Mus musculus: one gene and its partner. The protein of the gene in region 2 interacts with the protein of the main gene of each other region in a biochemical or structural test. Links are inferred from orthologs where the notes say so. Each region holds a gene or a part of one and is shown on either strand. Other genes may lie near its edges. The genes, in order: Cav1 and Ptpn11.

Evidence for each region.
Region 1: the proteins of Ptpn11 (region 2) and Cav1 form a complex in vitro, tested with the Homo sapiens proteins (2 studies listed by BioGRID). The link is inferred for Mus musculus from reciprocal best matches to the Homo sapiens genes PTPN11 and CAV1.

The regions. Positions count from the first base shown.
Region 1 is NC_000072.6:17,301,564-17,311,834, reverse strand, and holds the start of Cav1 (caveolin-1), read right to left. Parts: upstream 5,501-10,271; 5' UTR 5,386-5,500; coding exon 5,356-5,385; intron 4,783-5,355; exon of another isoform or gene 4,671-4,782; intron 4,553-4,670; exon of another isoform or gene 4,517-4,552; intron 4,196-4,516; exon of another isoform or gene 3,955-4,195; coding exon 3,790-3,954; intron 1-3,789. UniProt on the Homo sapiens protein: May act as a scaffolding protein within caveolar membranes. Forms a stable heterooligomeric complex with CAV2 that targets to lipid rafts and drives caveolae formation. Mediates the recruitment of CAVIN proteins (CAVIN1/2/3/4) to the caveolae.
Region 2 is NC_000071.6:121,133,101-121,142,685, reverse strand, and holds part of Ptpn11 (tyrosine-protein phosphatase non-receptor type 11), read left to right. Parts: intron 1-5,156; coding exon 5,157-5,269; intron 5,270-7,859; coding exon 7,860-7,929; 3' UTR 7,930-7,950; intron 7,951-8,539; 3' UTR 8,540-9,585. UniProt on the Homo sapiens protein: Acts downstream of various receptor and cytoplasmic protein tyrosine kinases to participate in the signal transduction from the cell surface to the nucleus. Positively regulates MAPK signal transduction pathway. Dephosphorylates GAB1, ARHGAP35 and EGFR.

The DNA of each region.
Region 1 (10,271 bases), on a different chromosome or scaffold from region 2:
TATCAACGCCATCCTTCATTTATGCCACAGCTTCCCGCTGCGGACTTGGGAGCCTACAATCTTAAACTGAGTGTGATATTCAGGACTCTGCTACTTGGTTATAATCTCTCATTTCATTTTTATCGTGTTCTACTATGCCACATGAGCTCCTAGACTCCAATCAAAGTGAGATATTAAAATTTGCATGGAACAACTGCACCTAATACTAAGAGGTTGTGGTGGAAGAGGGGGAGGAAAGATGAGAAGAGTCAGAGGAATACATAGGTTGCTGTGACACTGTGTTTCCTAGAAACGTCAGAGCAGCAACACCCATGAAGCCTCACCAATATGGCTGCCTAAACAAGACCTTAGCAAGGATGACATGGTAGACATGCTAAGGGATAGAAATACTCACAAGGCCTCAACCCTAGACAAAAACTACAGGCAGCTAAGGAATGCTGAGAGTGAGGGAAACAGTCTTCCCCAGGTAGCAGCATACCAGTTAATCATCTAATACCAAATATCCCTGCGAACATACACAGACAACACTATATAGACAGAGCAGGCTATATTTTTATGTTTAGAAATTTATATGCACATATATTTGAAGAAAAAGCAGCCATGGATCTGAGAAAAAGTCAAGGGTTACAATGGGAGGGGCTGGAAGGAGGAAAGGGAAGTGGGGAGGGGAGCATAATTATAATCTCAAAAATTAAAAATTGTAATCAAACTTTATTTAAAATAATAATATGGAAGTGTCTAGGGGGATCAAAGAAAGGGAGGGGTGAGAAGATGGAGGGTAAGAAGGTATGGAAGAGAATATTCTCAAAATACAATATATAACAGTCTGGTCTCCTTCCGTGCACCCTCCTGCCCTCCTAAGCTTCTGCATATAGACTGTGCTCTCCCACCTAGGTCAGATCCCATGCTCCTCTTGACCCCCTCCATTAAAGGATTTAAGGAATCTTTTACCTACCTGCTGCTCTTCCTGTGACATCTTCCTGACAGTATCAGTGACAATCACTTTTGAGAACATTTTATTCTGCAATATGCGATACCACTTACTTTGACTTAGCATAGCACATATTTAGTCTATTTCTAAAATGACAATGCAGTTGACAGTGCAATGGAGCCTCATATTACTACATGCCAGGAGAGAGAGGGAGATAGAGAGAGAGAACACAAAACCACCTGTGGGGGAGAGTAAATAAATTGTGCTAATAAAACAAATAATAGAGCTACATGTATCTTGGTAGTCAGGGCAAAACTAAAGGATCCATTGTGGCTCTGTGTGTGTGTGTGTGTGTGTGTGTGTGTGTGTGTTCAAGATTAAGATTTTTGTAATATGTACATATCTTTCTTGTTTTATTAGCAGTATTAACAGTAATATTTTTATCTGCTGGACTTATTTTAAAAACTAAATCATAAAAATCCAGCCTAACACATCACAACATTGTAATAAGCTGAATAGCAATTAATAAGATCATATATTTTAATGCATTTTTTTTTTTACTTTCGAATTCTAATCATGGGTAATGAGCAAATGAATGAACATTATAAATGTCAGAGGAAGAATGGTGAATCCAACGTTTAACTATCTGGGTAAAAGAAGCTTAAGAAAACATTCAAATCATAATATTTTGTATATATGTAGATACACCGTTATGTGAAGTGTCAAGCCTCTATATGAAAACAGTTATATTGGCAATCGATTCTATATTGAAATGGATATTCTTGTTGCCAGAGGGCTAGGTGATCATGCTCTGTGTTGATGAAGTGCAAGTGTAGAGCATGCAGCCTTTGGGGCCTTTCCATGCCTCCACACTTGATACATAGGACTGAGACGAATTGGACTATGGTGTTCTTTATACCTTCAATCTGGGCCTCATTTCTTGTCTACATAGAAGGTTTGTTTAGTTGTGTTATTCAACTGGATATGAAGGTATCGGTGAAGAGCAGGGGACACTCTAGCAAGACACTGTCCAGCAGAGATTTCTATGATGGAAAATTTCTAGCTAGTTCTGTGGGGGAGGGGAGGAGTCTATGAGCAGGGGTAGCCTGGGTCTCTCTCTGCAAAACAAATGCTTTCAGAAGATAACCTCCTGGGCAGGACATCTGCCTAAATTCTTCTAAATTCTTTTCTCAAGGTTAGCTTTTTCTTGTCTGTCTGTCTTTCTGGATTTGCTCCTCCTGTGAGCAAGCAGGCAGGTATTGCTCTAGCTCTTCTAATTTCTCTAATTTGAGGAGCTCCACACTCACTCTTGACGTAGTATTTTGTAAACTGCTATTTCCTCCAAGCCTGTTATGCCTTTTTTCCATCTGTGTTGAAGTCTCTTTTCCCAGTGGGGCCTTCTCTCTCCACTTAGTCATGCTATGTGTGGGGACCCAAATCCACACTGCTGGCCTTTCTGACTCATCTCAGGAGGCTCTCTGGCTCTTGGGAATCCACATTGCAACAACAGGGAGGCTCCATAGAAGGGAGCCAATTTGTAATCATGAAATCTGCTTTTATAATTGGAGTCTCCCTCTTTGACCAACGCAGCACAAGAAGGGTGAAAAGAAAACTGCTCTTTCCCCTTTAAGGAAGTGTGGCTAATAAACGGATTTTTTAGCAATCTTAACTTCCAATTTATGAGGTGCCTTCATTGCTGGTTTTAAATATTCCACAATGTGGCCAAGAGAAAATGGTCCAATTTTCCTTTTTTTCTACCAGCAAACCAAGGGAGTCAATTTTGACAGATACACTTTCCCTGTAGTTGTAGATTAAGCCTCTCTCTCTGAAATATATTATTCATAAAGGTGAAACTGTACTGGAGCTCCTCCCATCCATAGATAGAAGGCTGTGGGTAGAAACTGCATCACCTCCTCAATGGTGAATCAGGGGCTGGGCAGGGCAGGGCAGTGTCTTCCGTTAGAACCCCTGAAGCTAGGATTTTCCTTGGCCCTCCAGGCCACTCAGAGGAAATCCTCTGCCAAGGACAGCTCGAGTCCAGGATTTCTCAACCCACTCAGATTCAGACAAGAAATTCCTTGAGCCAGAATTGTTGAAAGGGTCAAAGTTGAATAGCAAAATGATAATGAAAGTCAGACAGACCACTGTGTCAAGTCTATGCTGACCAACAACTCAGGAAAGTAAGGTATTTTAAATCTCAGCAAGGACATCTTGAAAATGGAACACCAATCTTGAGTTCTGTTAGCCCAGGGCAGGCTGACCTTGGCTGTCACCACACACGCACACATTTAACTAGAGGGATCCAGAAGTCAAGAGGTGGAAATGATTTTCAGTTTGGTAAATGAGCTTACCCTTGCACATGTGCCATGTTTCTATAGTTAAAACACCACACACACACACACACATACACTACATACAAAATATGTACACATATCTGCATATGTTATCGGTTCCACTCATTTCATATTTTTATGCTAATCATTTAGATTATTTAGCTGACAGAATCTGCTCATTCTGTATTCTGTTATTCACCAGTGGCACAAAGTCTCACACAATTATTTTACCAACATGGAAAAGAGCTGTAACTGGACTTTTAACCTGCCAATGGACCATAATAATTTTCCCTTCCCAAGTAATGTGCATGTGTGTGGTGGGGCACTCGTGGCTAAGGTTCTATGGACCCCCCACATCAACTGGCTAAATTCCTGCTGAACTTGCCAGCAGGAAGAGGCAGGCAGATGCGACATTTCTGACACCAGACCCGCAGGGGGTCACACACAGCCAAGCTCAAAAAAGGAGTGCTTGTCTGTCAAAGCTTGGGAGAGTACACTGTGGGACCCAGACAGCAACATGCTTACCTTGACCACGTCGTCGTTGAGATGCTTGGGGTCGCGGTTGACCAGGTCAATCTCCTTGGTGTGCGCGTCATACACTTGCTTCTCAGTCACCTCGTCTGCCATGGCCTTGTTGTTGGGCTTGTAGATGTTGCCCTGTTCCCGGATGGGAACAGTGTAGAGATGTCCCTGTGAGGGCAACCGGCCAAGCCAGGGGAGGGCGGCAACAGCGGTGGGAAGAAAAGTTCAGAAAGAAAAACAAGAGTCAAGAGTCAGCCTGGCTGTGCGGGGGTAGCCTGGCGCTACAACTTTTGCTAGCTTCAACCTCGAAGGAAAGGCTTGCACACAGAAAACTCCAGCGCTGCAAGCTTTTTAAGAGGACGGAGCGGAGGACACCACACCCCTCGGTACCAGGCAGAGAGCGCCTGCCTCCCGCGCCCGCCGCCAGGGGTCAGGGCGAAGTCCCATGCGCCCTCCTGCTCCCCACGGCTCTCGGCCCTGACTCCCCAGCCCAGGGGCTGGGGTTCCCGTTCCTCCTCCTCTGTATTCCTTCTCTCCGCCAGACCTATGACCCCACAACCTCACCTGCTCCGTGGTCCCTCTCTTAACCCTTAACACTGTCCTAAGGTCCCTTTCAACATTATCAAGATCACTCTGGACCAAACTGACAGACGTAATGGTCCCATCTTCACTGTCCCTCCGTGCTTCTTCCTTGCACCTGCCACAGCCCCTACCCCCTTTTAAAACCCACCTTTACTCCCTGGTTTTTCTTAGGCCGTGGGGGTGAATAAGTGGCTCACAATCTAACATACTTCTTTAGGCTGAGGCATGTGCCAAGACCTGTCACCCCCACCCCCATGCCCCAGAGGACATGCCATCTGAAGAACTGCCTGACCCACCCTTACTTAGATCACTCTCAGGCTGTCTACTCCAAGCTGAATCGTAGCCCTATTTGGGAACCGGGGTCTCCACGTTTAGTCCACCTGAGTGCCAAGAAGGAGTTGACAATGGCGGTGGTACTTGTGAGGGAGGAAGGAGGCTTCCCCCACCTCGGAACTCCCCCCGCCCGGGCCTCTCAGGGGCAGAAAAAACTATTGAAGTTCTCGAGAACTTCGCTAAGTGCAATACACGCATGCCGCTGCCCAAGCCAGCCACTTTAGGCTCCTGGGGGGTTGGGGTGGGGGGACACTGTCCAAATGAATCTCCTTCCCCCGAACACACACACACACACACACACACACACACACACACACACACACACACACACACACACACTGAGCAGCAGCCCTAAGCCTCCCAGTAGGTACGGGCTGGACCGCAGTGGGGTCTCGCGAACGTGTCATCTGGAAAACTTTTCTAAGTCTGGCAGACCGGGTCTCCTTCTTTCCCCTTTTGGCTCCATTGGTCTCCTCTCCAAAAGGAAGCCCTAAGACATTCCTAGCTTTTCACCTCCCCACCCAGCCCATTCCTCCAAGGTGCCAGCTCGAGTGCCGCGAAGGTGGAGAGCGGGCTGGGGCGAGGAAAGCAGTCCGAGCATTTGGAGTGGAAGATAGCAAAAGCAGGCACTTTGGAGCCCTCACCCAAGCCTACCTCGGAGTCTACGTATTTGCCCCCAGACATGCTGGCGCGTGGCTGGCTGCAGGCTCTGAGGAGGTTTCCCTGGGCTGTGATTTAAGAGAACTGAGGAAGGAAGATCTTGTATTGTATAGAGGGGGGAAAGGCGCTGGCGGGGGGCGGTGGCTGGGAGGGAGCCTCTTGGCTGTTCGCCAGGGGTTTGTTCTGCTCTCAGTTGGCTAGGACGTGCTCTGCGCCGGGTCTAGGCACATCCCCAAGGTTCTGGCAGCAGAGGGCGGGGAGTGCCGGCGGGGAGCTGAGAGCCTGTGAGAAAGCCTTCATCAGAGCTAGGCAGTTTGGGCAGATATTTTAGACTCGAGGCAACGTTTTCCCAGCTATAAACCTACAGAGAGGCATCCAGGGGAGAGCGCGTGTTTTCCCAGTGCATCATCTCAGCAGGGGTGGAGGGAGCCCAAGAGTCTGCAGAGATGCCCAGTATGGGCATCCGGCTCTGCAGAAAGAATTCTGCCCTGTCCTAAGCTGCCTCCCCTCCCAATTCGCCCACGTAGAACTGATCTGTCTCCTTGTTTCACAGAGAAAGATATAGAAGCGAGATGGCTGGGAACCTGAGGGAACATTTTTTTTTTTTTTAAATATAAACACAACGAAGCAATCTGTGTGGGCGCCTCTGCAATAAAGAAAATGAAATCCCTACCAGCAGGTTATACAGTAACCATAAGCACTTTGAGTATTTTCAACTGCAGAAAATTTTACTTAGAGGTTCAAGCTTGTTACTAGAGAGTTTTTTGTTTTTGTTTTTGTTTTTTTTGTTTTTTTTTTTTTTCTTGGCTCAAGATCGACGAGTTCGAACCCAGGGCTTTGTGTATTCTGCCTGGAGATTAAACACTCTACCACTGAACTACATCCTCTGCCATAGAGGATCCAAGCGCAGGAATATGTGCTTGACTGTGAGAGAATGTTTTTTGTTTGTTTGTTTGTTTGTTTTATTTTTTGACAAAGTAGTTTTTCTTTTTAAGTTAACAACTAAAATATCAGTTTCAAAAGCTGGCCAGCCTCCTTTGTCTTATTGTAAGGAAAAATAAGATAAACTATAGTTGCTTTTTACTAAAGGAAAGAGTAACTAATTAGAGACAGTAACTAAGCAGTTTACTCCCCACCACCTCAAGGATGAAAGGAAATTTTTACCTAAGCATTCCTATGCAAACACTCCCAATGCACACTGGAAAGGACAGAGAGTACATTTTTAAAATTGTTTCCAAGAAGCAGGAGCACGGGCTCATGAGAAGGATGAAGAGGAATCCCAGGGCTTGAAAACAGATAAAATGGAACCCTGAAAGAACTGATCATCTAGCTGGAAAGAAGACCTGAAAAGACCAGTAACCTGGGTCCCCGGCTGATAGGGAAGCAATTGTTAATTAATTATTTGATTAATTATAAATTTATAATACATTTTATTATAAATTATAAATATATTATTTATGAATAATTTATTTATTTTTATCAGGGTGTGACACCCATAGCTAATGGGAACGGCGTGCTATTTCAGCACTTGCATTTGTCATACTAATCTAATGAGGGTGGTTAGCAGTATGTTGTTAAAAAATAAAAGGGTGAATTTTAACCAGGAATGGCAGGGGAAAGTCGGTGTGGTAAAGGTTAGGTAACTTATGCTGGCTGTTCCCTATGAGATTAAAGGTCTTTTCAAAGGCTAGTCTCCTTAGTTTTATTTCTACTAAATTACTTTTCCAAAATCTTTTATCAACTCGTGTGTCAACCTACACGGTAAGCCAGAAAAGGCCTTCTGGTTCCATGTAGCTGCCTTAGCTACCTCTGAAGATCTCTTAGGATATCGTTTGTCTACTATCTGCATTGTCTTTCAGAGATATTTGCTTCGAGGCCATTAGGATTCTGTTCTAGGGAAAAACGTAGAAACTGGTTCCCACCCATTGTTTCAAGCTGACGAGTTTGCCTTGCATTCCCGGCAGAAAGAAGTTCTGGAAAGGTCCTTCAGTGGATGCCTACCTAAACCAGCAGAGGGAAAGCCACCTCCAGGGGAAAGCCCATATCCAAGTCAAGTCAACAGCGGCTCTGGAATCATAAAGATTAGGGGAGTGCTCTGGATGCCAAGATGAATCCGCAATGACTAGAAAAACGATAGCTGTTTAGGTGACCCACCTCAACAAGACACAGATGCTACAGAGAAACAGTTCTTAAGGTCTTGTGACAGCTGACTGGGAGAAATGACTCTGACCCCATGAGAAGTTAACTCTGCTAACTTAGGTATGAGATTTAAGTGAATAGGTGATATAAATAATCCTTTTCTTTGATATTCACACATGTGACTTTGGGCTTGAGGGAAAGTTAATAGCTTTCTCTAAATCATTTGCTGGAAATGAGTATTACAGTTTATTTATTTGCTATTTTTCGAATGTCAGATGCAACTTTAAAAGCCTGAGGATTCTGCATCAGTAGAGATACTTAACTAAACATGGTAATGGTCATCTAATCCCGCTATCTTAGACATAAAGACACTGATGTCTGGATACACTAACACTCCTGAGGAAAATAAACTGTTTCTAAGTTGACAACTAACTGCACTTGTTAAGTTCCAGGACACAGGATCTGCTTGTGGCTAAATAACAATTAGCTGCTTTTTTTGTGTTCGCCCTGCCTTTCTTCCAGGCCCATCTTCCTACCGTGCTTTATCTTTCCCATTCTCATGACACTGAGTCTTTTTCCTCTTTTCGTTTAGTTCTATCTTTTTTCTCTTCTCTGGTTAGAAGCCTAAGGTTAAGCAATACTAATAGTCTTAAGATTTAAAATCCAGGGCTGGAGCGATGGATTAGAGGTAAGGAGGGTTATGAGAGCTTGCTGCTCTTGCATAGGATCTGGGTTGGGTTTGGTAGATCACACTGTCCATAACCCTAGTTTTAGGGGATCCTCGGCCCTCTTCTGGCACTGACACTCACTTGGTGTGCACAAATACACGCAGGCAAACACTCCTACAGACAAAAGAAAATAAATACATCTTCAAAAGGAAAAACAAACAAACAAACAAGCAAATCTTTCAATATTTCATAATCAGCTTAGAAAAGAGATTTGGGAATGGGTTGTAAATGGTAAATGGCTCTGTGTGTGTGTGTGTGTGTGTGTGTGTGTGTGTGTGTGTGTGTGTGTGTGTGTGTAACTATGGCAAAGTCACTTACCACTCATTCCAGACTTGAGCTATATCTCAGAGGCTTTCCTCCCAGCACTGCTAATTGGCTGGTAGCCCTCATATGCTTTCCTCTACTTACTCTGTCTACCAGGTTCCATGGAGGTCTTCTTCCCTAATTTCATGGATTTCACTTGGAAAGTAACAGCATTCTGACTGAAGATTTGTTACCTTGCTGATTCCTTTCTTCCCTGTCTGACAGGGAGCCTAGCTGGAACTTCTTTGCTTGAATCATCATCATCATCATCTTCTTCTTCTTCTTCTTCTTCTTCTTCTTCTTCTTCTTCTTCTTCTTCTTCTTCTTCTTCTTCCTCATCATCAAATATCAATGTATTTGAGAAGGCTGGCCTTGAACTTCTCATCTCCTGCCTCCACCTATCAAATACTGGAATTTATAGGCATGTCATGCCCAGCTTTTCTTTCAGTATTTTAATGATATTTATTTATTTATTTGTTTATTAAAAAAAACAAAGCAAATTATATCTTTGTTTTTCTGATCAAGATGCCCGGAGAGTGTTTCTAATTAGATTTACATTCTTTAGTTTTTAAAAATGGAAGACATAATTGATGCATATCCATCGAGATTGCTGAGAACATTCCATAAGATGACACAGTTAAAATATTGGTGCAATTACCTAAATTGTAATAGATGCCACTAACCCTCAGGGACAGAGTTTAGCCCACAAATTCAATAATGGAATGGACACATTTTACTTCACAAAATGTCTTAGTAAGTGTTCTATTACTGTGAAGAGAAACCATGACTATGACGACTCTTCCAAAAGAAAGCATTTAATTGGGACTTGCTTACAGTTTCAAAAGTTTAATCCATTTTCTTATAATGGGAACCACAGAGACATGCAGGCTGACATGGTGCTAGAGAAGCAGCGGAGAGTTCTACATCTAGATCTGCAGGCAGCTGGAAGAGAAAGAAAGACACTGGGCCTGGCTGGAGCATTTGAAACCCCAAAGCCCATCCCCAGTCACACCTCCAAATCACTTTCAAGTAGGACTACTCCCTAATAACCCAACATTCAAATCTATGGGCATGTGGGACCATTTTATTCAAACTACCACTGTAAAATATGTTTCCTGTAAAATAATACAACTGTCCAAAGTAAGCACATAATATGAACAGGCCCAATCAAGCTTGATGGTAAAATCATTTTGTCTTATTTGCCTTAGAACGTAAGGGGACAACATTATAGACACTGTTAAAGTCATCTGTGAACCATAGCAACCCTTTTCTATAGCTAAACTTAATTTCCCTAACAAAACCCAATTTCGTTAGGTAGCAGAAAGTTCACTGAGGACAGTTTGTACTTTCCTCCATTCCTCAGTAGTTTGTTTAGAAGTGAGCTTGTGAATTGCTAAGGAATTCAATTCTGAGGCATGTATAGGTCTTAGGATGCTTTGCAGCCCAATGACTGTAGGAATCACTTCTCTGTCCTCAGGCAGTGAATGCCCGTATATCATTTTTCATGGTCCTTCCATGCACCTCTTAGGAGATACTCTTTGGACTGTTCCTCCAAAGTCCCCAGAGTGGTACTGTTAGGAGGTGGTGGAGACATTATGAAGTGAGATTATTAGGTCACTGTAGGCAAACTCAGAAAGAGTACTGTCCCTACTATAAAGCAAATAGTTTTGTTCTGTTCAATGCTCCCACCATGTGCTACTTTAAAACTGGCCCCAAAGCCGGTACATCTGACCATGAACT
Region 2 (9,585 bases):
ATTTGGCTGCATTGAAACAGTGAATTTCAATTTTAATAAGCTATGCATAATGAAGAGTGTGCAGTTGGAGCCTTTCCATGTGAGACTATTCATAACAGACACAAAGCTGAGCTAATTAGGATGCGCCAAGCTGAGGGAGATGAGGAGAGCCGTTCTTTTGGGGAGCTTTTCTTATTCCTTTCCCAAACCCTGTTGTGCTGCAGCAGATGGGTGGTGTCTAAACACCAACCACGGTTGTCCTTTTTATTGCTATTGCTTTCCAAAAGCCCAGGAGAGGGGACTTGGTGCGTGTCATAGGGTAGCAGGCTGTCTCTTAATGAGTAGCTTAAAAAAAAAAAACAGTGATCATCTCGCTGTATAGCCCTGGCTGACCTGAAATCAGTTTGTAGATCAGGCTGGCCTTGAACTCAAAGATGCACCTGCTCTGCCTCACAAATGTTATGATTAAAGGTGTGCGCCACCATGCTGGCCTGGAAGAGTAGGGAGAACCGCACCATCCTCCTTGAGAGCCAGAGGCGGGCCCCTTCCTGAGTTTAGGTACTCAAGTAGACGCGGGGTCAGGAGGTCACATGATTGATTAACAAGCCACCCATCCCCAACTTTAATTTTTTAAATATGAATTCAATGTAAGCAGTTTTTTGTTTTTTTTTTTTGTGGTGTTAAAGAGCAAACCTACGTACGGCCTCATGCACGCTAGCTCAGAACTCTGCCCCTGAGCTGCACCCCAGAGCCTCATGCACACTAAGTTAGCACTGCACCACTGACCTGTACCTCCCACCTCTGAACCTGGATGGCTGCCCTAAAGTTCTTTTATACATGTCTCCCAGTTTACACTTAATTGGGACCACTCATAGTTTAGAAGAGATGCTCAGGGAATAAATAAAGAGCTAGCACATGGTTGCTCAGCCTGGTCAGAAACATTCAGGAGATTCTGTCATCTTGTCGGGAGAAGTCCTCTGTACCATTTGGGTTTGTATTTGAGTTGGGATTGAGGGTCTTTGGCTGCTCCCCATTGAGGGACTGCTGCTTGGAGCCTTCATATTGCTTCCTGGCACTGAGACTATTAAGACTGAGGCTGTAAGTTGGATTTAGGAAATAATTTTGGGGGAAAAGAATCTTATTTAGTAACTTGGTTGATTGTGGGGAAGGAGTATTTACTGATGGGGACACAAAGCATGTGTTTCAGTTACTTACATGTTAACAAGTGAGTGTCCTGCTGATTCCACCTGAAGGATGCAAGCTTGCACTCACTGACTCGCTCACTCATTCATTCATACATACAATCATTCATTCATACAGTCATTCATTCAGCTAATTCATTTTGATACTAGTATGTGTTAGCACTTTGCAATTGTATTAACTCAGATTTTGGAACTTGGAACTTTGGTGTTAAAAAAGTATATAGGAGGGATGGGTTGTGGTGGAACAAGCCTTTGAGGCCAGCACCCAGAGAAAGGACTAATCTCTAAGTTCAAGGTCAGCCTTGTTTACGTAGTATGCTCTAGGACAGCCAGAGCTACATAGTGAGGCCTATGTCTCAAAAATAAACATACATTTCTGCGTGTATGGTTTGGGCTGGGGGTGTAGCTCACTTGGTTTGGAACTTGCCTAGTATACACAGAGCTATGGTTGGCCCCATGTAAACCTGAAGTGCTGGCATGTGCCTGAATCTCAGCACTTGCGAGACCAAGATGGGATCAGAAATTCAAGGTTGTCTTTGGCTGTGTATTGAGTTCCAGGTTAGTGAGAGCTATATAGGACGATATTGCAAAAACAACAAAGCAACAGTGAAAAAGAAAACTACCACTGCACACAAAAGAGTCAACTGCACACAAAACAGTCAACTACCTGTCTCCCTGCTTATTTTTAAATTGAATTTCAATGTGTGTGAGCCTGTGTCCATGTGTAGAAGGAGGAGGAATCAGACCCCTTGCACCAGGATGTGCACTGCCCAGGGTTGCTGATGGGAACTTAGCTTTCATCTGCAGAAGCACTTGCGTCCTTAACCACTGCACTATATGGCTCCAGCCCAAGCCCAGCGGATTCTTAAATTAAGCAACAGGACAAAACTCATTTAGTATAATGAATTAGTTCAAAATGTAGCCATCTTCCAACTTTGGATGAGTTAAGCCCTTTGGGAGTAAAAGAATTGCTAAATGAAAACAAAGTGGCAGTTGGGTGGAGAACCGTGGGGAAAGAGGCGGAGTGAAACAGAGGAAGCGGGCCAGCAAGAAAGAGATACACAGAGGGGCGAGCAGAGAACGGGACAGAGCACCGTAGGGACAGTCCTGAGTGGCTTATTAAGACTGCCTCTTGTGCTGCAGGGCTTTTTGTTTGTTATTTCAAGACAGAGTTTCTTTGTCTGTACAGCCCTTGCTATCCTGGAACTTACTCTGTGGACCAGGCTGGCTTCAAACTCACAAAGATCTGCCTGCCTCTGCCCCGCAAGCACCGGGATCAAAAGTGGCACCACCAGTGCCCAGCTGTGCCACTGCAGATTTGTTGAGAGGTTTTTTTTTTGTTTTTTTTTTTTTTTTAATTTTCCATTTATATTAGTAAGTACTTTATTTGCAAAAGCAGTGTGTGGAGTGCGTGGTATTTCTTTTACTCAACTTCTGAACACAAGCATTTATTTTTTTCTTCAAACTTTATTTAATATACATAATATTTAAAAAGGGAATGTTTATAACTTACATGAGTCTGTACCTCTTTGCTTCTAAGTGCATTGGTATATATTTTTTAAAAAAAGATGTTCTGTTACATCATCATGATTCAGTTACTAAGTTGGGGGAGCAAATTGAAAGCTCTGTATAATCTGCAGGTCAGGGCTGGAGCCCAGCGTGTGAGCATTTACTAGGCTCCTGGGGTCCATCCCAGTACAGCACACAAGCTTGCCCAGCATGTGTGAGCACTTATGTAGCTTGAGGCAAGAAGGCTGGGAATTCCAGTCTAGCCTGGGCTATGTTAGACCTTTTCTTGATAAAACCACAACCAAACAAGAAATTAAACATATGTCTTGGAAATACAGCTCAGAGGTTAAGGATACACACTGTTTTTATAGAGGACATGATGGCAGAGGGCTCAAAACTGCAGGTAACTCCACCTCTAAGGGATCCAGTGCATGTGTGTGTGTGCGCGAGTACACACACACACACCTCATGGTGACTTCCTCATGTGCACACACAGACATAAACACAACTCAAAAAGCTAAAGTAGGCCATACTCCACATTCAGATTTTTCCAGTTTGTCTTGCTGTGGTCAGGGTCACATGGTGTGTATAGCATTCATGTTTGTTTCCTGTCTTTCATCTGGAATAGTTTCTATGTCATACTATTGCTCTTGCTCCATACTTGGGACATTCCAGGAGCTGTCAGTTGCACCCTGCAGCTGAGACTCAGGCTGTGCTGTGCCAGGCCCTTCTGCACCACTCCAGTACCTTAGGGCTAAGTTGATTCAGGACAGTCAGGTCAGCTCTGCCTCTTGAGAAGATGATGGTGAGGTTTCTTCACTGGGAACTTACAGAATCAAGGCTAGCTGGGCATGGTGGCACATGCCTTTAATTCCTATAGTGCAGAGACACAGAGGCAGGGGGATTTCTGTGAGTTCCAGGCCAGTCAGGGCTATATAATGAGACTCTGCCTCAAAACAAAAATACTGTGTCTATGTATTGAGAGTGTACAGTGTATTTTGTGTGTGGAAATGCTATGGGATGATTGTCATGGTTAGTTGGTTAGTGTGCCCAGCACCCCACAGTGCATGCTGAGGTGGTGGAGTCTACTCTCAGCAGAGTTCAAGTTTGCTCTACCTTGTCCAGTCCAGTGCTGGGCATGAGGCTTCCAGAGCCCGTGGAAGATGTTATGTCTGAAGATATGTACTGTGGTCAGTGTCTCCCTCCTGCCACAGTCCCCAACAGCCCCTGCCCTAATCACAGTTTGTAGAAGTCGGGATGCTTGGTGAGCCTTCCAATTCTGGATTGGAGTTCATTCATTTCATATGGTCAAGTTGACAACCAGGAATAACCACTGCAGGTTAGAATCCTGTTCTTCCTGCCCCCTCCTCCCCAGTTCTGGGATGGGGATGTGCACAGCTCCCTCTCCTTGCTGCTCAGTCTCCCAGAATGGAAGGTGTCCAGAGTGAAGAGGGTGGCCACGCAGGAGCCTCACTTTGATTGGATTTGTTGTCTGTGCTCTGGGAGCACATCCATGGATAGTGTGCAGTGGCCATTGACTCTTCACATAGTGTACCCATGCCTAAGCATCCCAGGGCACTTGGTCTTAGACATGAAGCCTGTAGATTCTCATGTTCCTTGAATAAGAACTACTCATTCCTCCTGTGGTCTTCATGTAGCCCAGGAAGGCCTTGAACATAGGGAAGTCTGCACATGTGCAGTACAGGTGCATTGTTATGGATATTCACTGCATGGAGAGCCGACTCTGCAGGGCTGTCTGCTCTCTACACACATGGCATGTGTGAGCCTTTATACATGGTGAGATGAGATTACATTCCTGTTGTTTGCTCTGTTGGTTTCCTTCCCCTACCATTTCATCTTAGGGTGCTGTGGTTGAGATGGCTGAGCACATCTCAACATTGTGGGAGGGCTCTGGGTGCCATCGCCAATACTGCTAAATACATAAAGTGCATTACTGTGCCTTCCATCCTTGCACACAGTGATAGAGCTCTGTGCTGAAGCAGGAGTAGTGCCTCTAGCCTGTGTCAGTCAGCAGTTCCTTGCAGCTCTGGGGGCTCTGAGGGTTGTGGTTGCAGCACACTCCTCCTGCAGGTGCCGTGAGCTCCTAACCATTTAGTCAGCATGTTAGTGTTCTTAAGAGTCTGGCCTGTGGGCTGGAGAGATGGCTTAGCAGTTAAGAGCACTGACTGCTCTTCCAGAGGTCCTGAGTTCAATTCCCAGCAACCACATGGTGGCTCACGACCATCTGTAATGGGATCTGATGCCTTCTTCTGGTGTGTCTGAAGATAGCTACAGTGTGCTCATATAAATAAAAATAAGTAAATCTTAAAAAAAAAAAAAAGAGTCTAGCCTGTCCATCTGCCTCTTTTTTTTTCTTTTGATAAAATAGCTTTTTTGTTTCTGTATTTTTCTAAAAATCATATCCACAGTCCTCCTTACTTGTATTTTTTTTTCCTTAACTTTCAGAAAAGCAAAAGAAAAGGACATGAATATACCAATATTAAGTATTCCTTGGTGGACCAGACAAGTGGTGATCAGAGTCCCCTGCCACCCTGCACCCCAACGCCACCCTGTGCAGAGTAAGTAGCGATACGGCGGCAGCGTAGGTCTGGTAGAAGCTTAACAGCAGTTGCTTGCAGTATTCTCCTCAGGCTTGCTTGCTGCCCACTGATGGTGCATGGGGCGGTGGGGTCCAGGGACTCTCTAGGGCTCATGGTTGCAGGGCCCCTAACCAGTAGGCACGTGATGGGCTCTCCAGGATCCTGTGGGGCCCTGGGCATGTTAGGTAGGGTTCTCTGGGGAAAATCTAATTTTCCTTTTGCAGGGAGCATTATTTCAGTGGGAAGCGCTGTCCCTTACAGTGTGGAGACTCTTAAGAATAAATAAACTCTCTGTTCATGTGTGGACATGACTATGATCTGCCAATCTTCCTGTCAGTCAGGGTTTTTAAACCAAGGGTCAGAAAGCCAGAGCCCATAGGCTAGCTTTGCTTTTTAAAGGAGTTCTTATTTAAGACAAACAAACAAACAACCCCAAAAACCTGACAAGCCAACAGTTGCATGGGGACAGCTATCCCAGTAGGAAATGGCGAGCAATTACGAATGGGTGTGCTGTAAAAGAAGCTGCAGGTGGCTTACGGACATGCAGGAGAGGCTCATTTTCCTTGGTGGCCAGCAAACACGAAGGGAAAGCTCAAAGTTCTTTTTTTTTTTTTTGGGGGGGGGTTCGAGACAGGGTTTCTCTGTATAGCCCTGGCTGTCCTGGAACTCACTTTGTAGACCAGGCTGGCCTCGAACCCAGAAATCCACCTGCCTCTGCCTCCCAAGTGCTGGGATTAAAGGTATGTGCCCCCAACGCCCGGCTTCAAAGTTCTTTCCACCAAGCAGAGCCACCAAGCAGTACCAGCAGGGGGTGTCCAGTGGTGGTGAGGACAGTTTTTAAGGAACGGCTGTTATATAGTGGTGGTTCAAGCACATTGGTTCAGCTCCACAGGACAGCTTGCCCCAAACTGCAGCCAGAGCCTTCTGAACACACTAAAATTTCTGACCTTGAACTTGGAGATTGCCTCTTATGGAAGTGCTCAGATCTCAGGAAAGATTGTGTTCCAGAGGCATTCAGTATGATGCCATCTTAACGGTTTGTACATCTGTGACAGAAAAGTGTGACATTTCCAGCATGTGAGTTCAACTAGAGACCCACTTAGAAGCAGAAAGGGCCCAGGCCCTATTAGTCAGACTCCAAGTAGGACTGAACTTAGGACAAAAAATGGAAAATAATCCCTGGTGCTCACTGTTGTCACCGACAACAACCCTGTGCAGCAGCGGCTTGGAGGGCTCAGGTGGTAGAGTATGTAACCAGCGGTGTGGCCATGCCTGTCTACATCATTCTCTGTGTCTGTTAGACAGCCTGCTTACAACTCGTGACGTCAAAGTGTCTTAGGCCATGTTGGGGTGAAACACCCCAGTTCTCTGAGCTGGCGCTCTATAGCCTGCCACTGAAGGCTCCTGGGAGCAGCAGGACTCCAGTAGAAACCACATTCACATTCTGGGAGACCCAGGTCCCTGCAACTTAACTGACAGTTTCCAGGGCTGTTTGGCCAGGATAGGATTGAGGTCTGCTGTGACCTCACTCTGTTCCTCCTGTCACCTCAATGCTTGATGTCTGCAAGGGCTCAGGCTTACATGTCTCACACCGTAGCCCCTTTACCCCTCATGTACCCGGGAAAGGAAAACCCCAAGGCGTAGCTGACAGAGGCCGTCTGACCAGTAGGGTCATCATCACCCATTGGTCATCACCACCCATTGGTTCTTCAGAAGGGCTTTGGCAGCTCCTGGTTTAAAGTAGGACACGCAGGGCAGTATCTGTTAGCCAGTCATGTGCTAGCAGCTGTGCTGCCTGTAGCCCAAGGTTGCTCTCCGCCATAACATTTACCTTTCCTTCCCCTGGAATCCCACTTGTTTGCTTCTGCCGTGGGCTTTTAAAGCCCCGCTGACTTTAATATTGGCTCTACTACGCAGCTCTGAGAGCAGATAGAGGCCTGTGTTTACATTCTCTCTCTGTTAAACACAGAAATGAAATTATGTGGCAAGGGTGTTCTCTCCTGAGTCACCTTGTCCCTTCCTGCTTTCCTCTGCCCCAGCAGGCTGACTGGAGACACTGGTGTCTTATACAGTTAGCTGTGGTAACTTGATGGGGAGCCAACATCCTTCCTATGAAGCTCACCCATGACTGACAAGCAACTCTGCCACACCCTTTTTGTTGTCCCATGTAGTATGCACACCTCAGATCCTGGCCCTGGGGCTGCTCAGGATCTGTCCTCATGTCCCACACGACCGGCTGATTCTGTTCTTTACAGAAGGAGGCTGGGCCCGCAGATGTGTTAGTTCATCCAAGGCTCTTAGGGTGACCGGAGCCCTCACTTGTGATGCTTCTGGGGAAATGGCCACCGTTCCCATCTGTGTGCATGACCCAACTCCTCCCCTGCCCTCCAAGCTGCCTGCCCTCCATTCACACTCCAAAAGGCAAAGGACTCGAGGCCCCTGCTGCTTTTCCCACTTCACGTGTGTGATGTCTGTTTTGAGAGTCAGCTCCAGAGTGGGAAGGGGGTCCGTCTGAGCATAGCTGGACATGGCAGTTCAGGTTAGCGTCTTCCTTCTTCTCTGTCTGCAGAATGAGGGAGGACAGCGCCCGAGTCTATGAGAACGTGGGCCTCATGCAGCAGCAGAGGAGTTTCAGATGAGCCCACGGCGACAGAACGCAGGTATTGAGTGTCACGGCTTTCTCTGGGGCGGATTCACAGCAGTCTAGACAGACGGGTGATTTGTGCATGCCAGAGCAAGATGTTCTGTGACTGAGTTGTGCAGAGCAGCCTCTTTTTCTTTGCCTTGGCCCTCTCCAGCCTGGGTTTGGTATACAGTTCATGGAGCATTAAGTCAGATCAGTTAACTGTGTGGGGATGGGGCTGGCCCAGCAGTTGACAGGGATGTAGTGGACTTGGGTCGGTCCATGTCTTGGCATCAACAGCAGGGGTGCTTCTGAGGGTGTGGGGTCCCAGGCTCCCCTGAGTTTTGATTGAGTCATTTTCAGTGAGGTGTGAGGTGTGCCTCCCTGGCTTCTGTGGTAAGTTAGAAACACACAGTATGGCGTCCCAACGTTGACATTTCTGGCAGCGATGATGTAGCTCAACTGAGAGCATTTATTCAGCATGTGTGTGTGTGTGTGTGTGTGTGTGTGTGTGTGTGTGTGTGTGTGTGTGTGTGTGTGTGGCATGCCGGCTTCAGTGCCCAGCACCCCTCAGAGAAGATGTATAGATGTGTGCTCCCTAAAAGTCTAACGTGTTTCTTTCTCAGATGTGAACTTTCACCCCTTTCCTAAAATGTCAAGACTAGACGAGCGTTCCCAGGACCCGTGCGTGCGTTCAGAAGCCGGCACTGGCTGGACTGCCTCTTGAGAAGCGAAGTTTGGAACCATTTGAACAGCACGTGCCTAATTGGCACCTCCTTTCCTCAGCTAAGGAGAGACTGCTCTGCGTTCTTGACAATGCTATTTTCATAGAATTGGTTTTGAATTGTGGAAGCAGCTAAATTGTGCTCTGTATTTTCTACATTATGGGACTCAAATTCTAGTTATGGGCAGGATTTTGTTTTTTTTTATGACCTTAACAGATCTGATTTTTTTTTTCTTTCTCTCTCTTTGGGGAATCATGGGCCCCTTGTAAGAAGAAAGGATTTAGGGAGATTCCGGCACAGCCTCCCCAAAAGCCAGCCGTCTGTAACCCACTGTTCATCTTGCTGCTCTGCACAGGGCTCCCAGGGCCCTGGCTGGAGACTGCTTAGGGTCATCATCATCACAGAGGCTCACTGTTTAGTTCCAGGGACCAGTAGGCCAGGCTGCAGGCTTGCACCTGGTGAGGGCCTTCTGGCTGTGCTACACTGGACGGGAGAGCACCAAGTGGGGAATCACTTTTATGGCACAAGTTCACTGCACCCTCAAGACCCAGGTATCCCTTATCATCTCACTGTCCACACAGTGACATTGGGAGGTCTTTGTGCTCCCTGCAGACACATGTCAGGGCACTTTTAAAACAGATTGACCCAGCCAAGGACAGTTCACTTTTGGTGGCTTCTTTTGTTTAGTGAAACGGTCATTCAGCCACTGAATGAGAGGGTCAGGAGGTAGACAGTCATGGCTGAAAGAAAGGCCCTGGGAACTGGTGTGTGAAGTCTTTCTTCTGAAGATGACTCCTTGGCTGCAGGTGTGGACAGAGAAGCTGTTCTGGGCAAAGTGACCATGTTGTCTCTGTACTGGAGTATTAGTAAGATCCCGGGGTGAGCGGTATTTGGTCCTCACTTGTTCCTGACCACCCCATTCCCGTTCTTCAGTGCAGCACATCTGA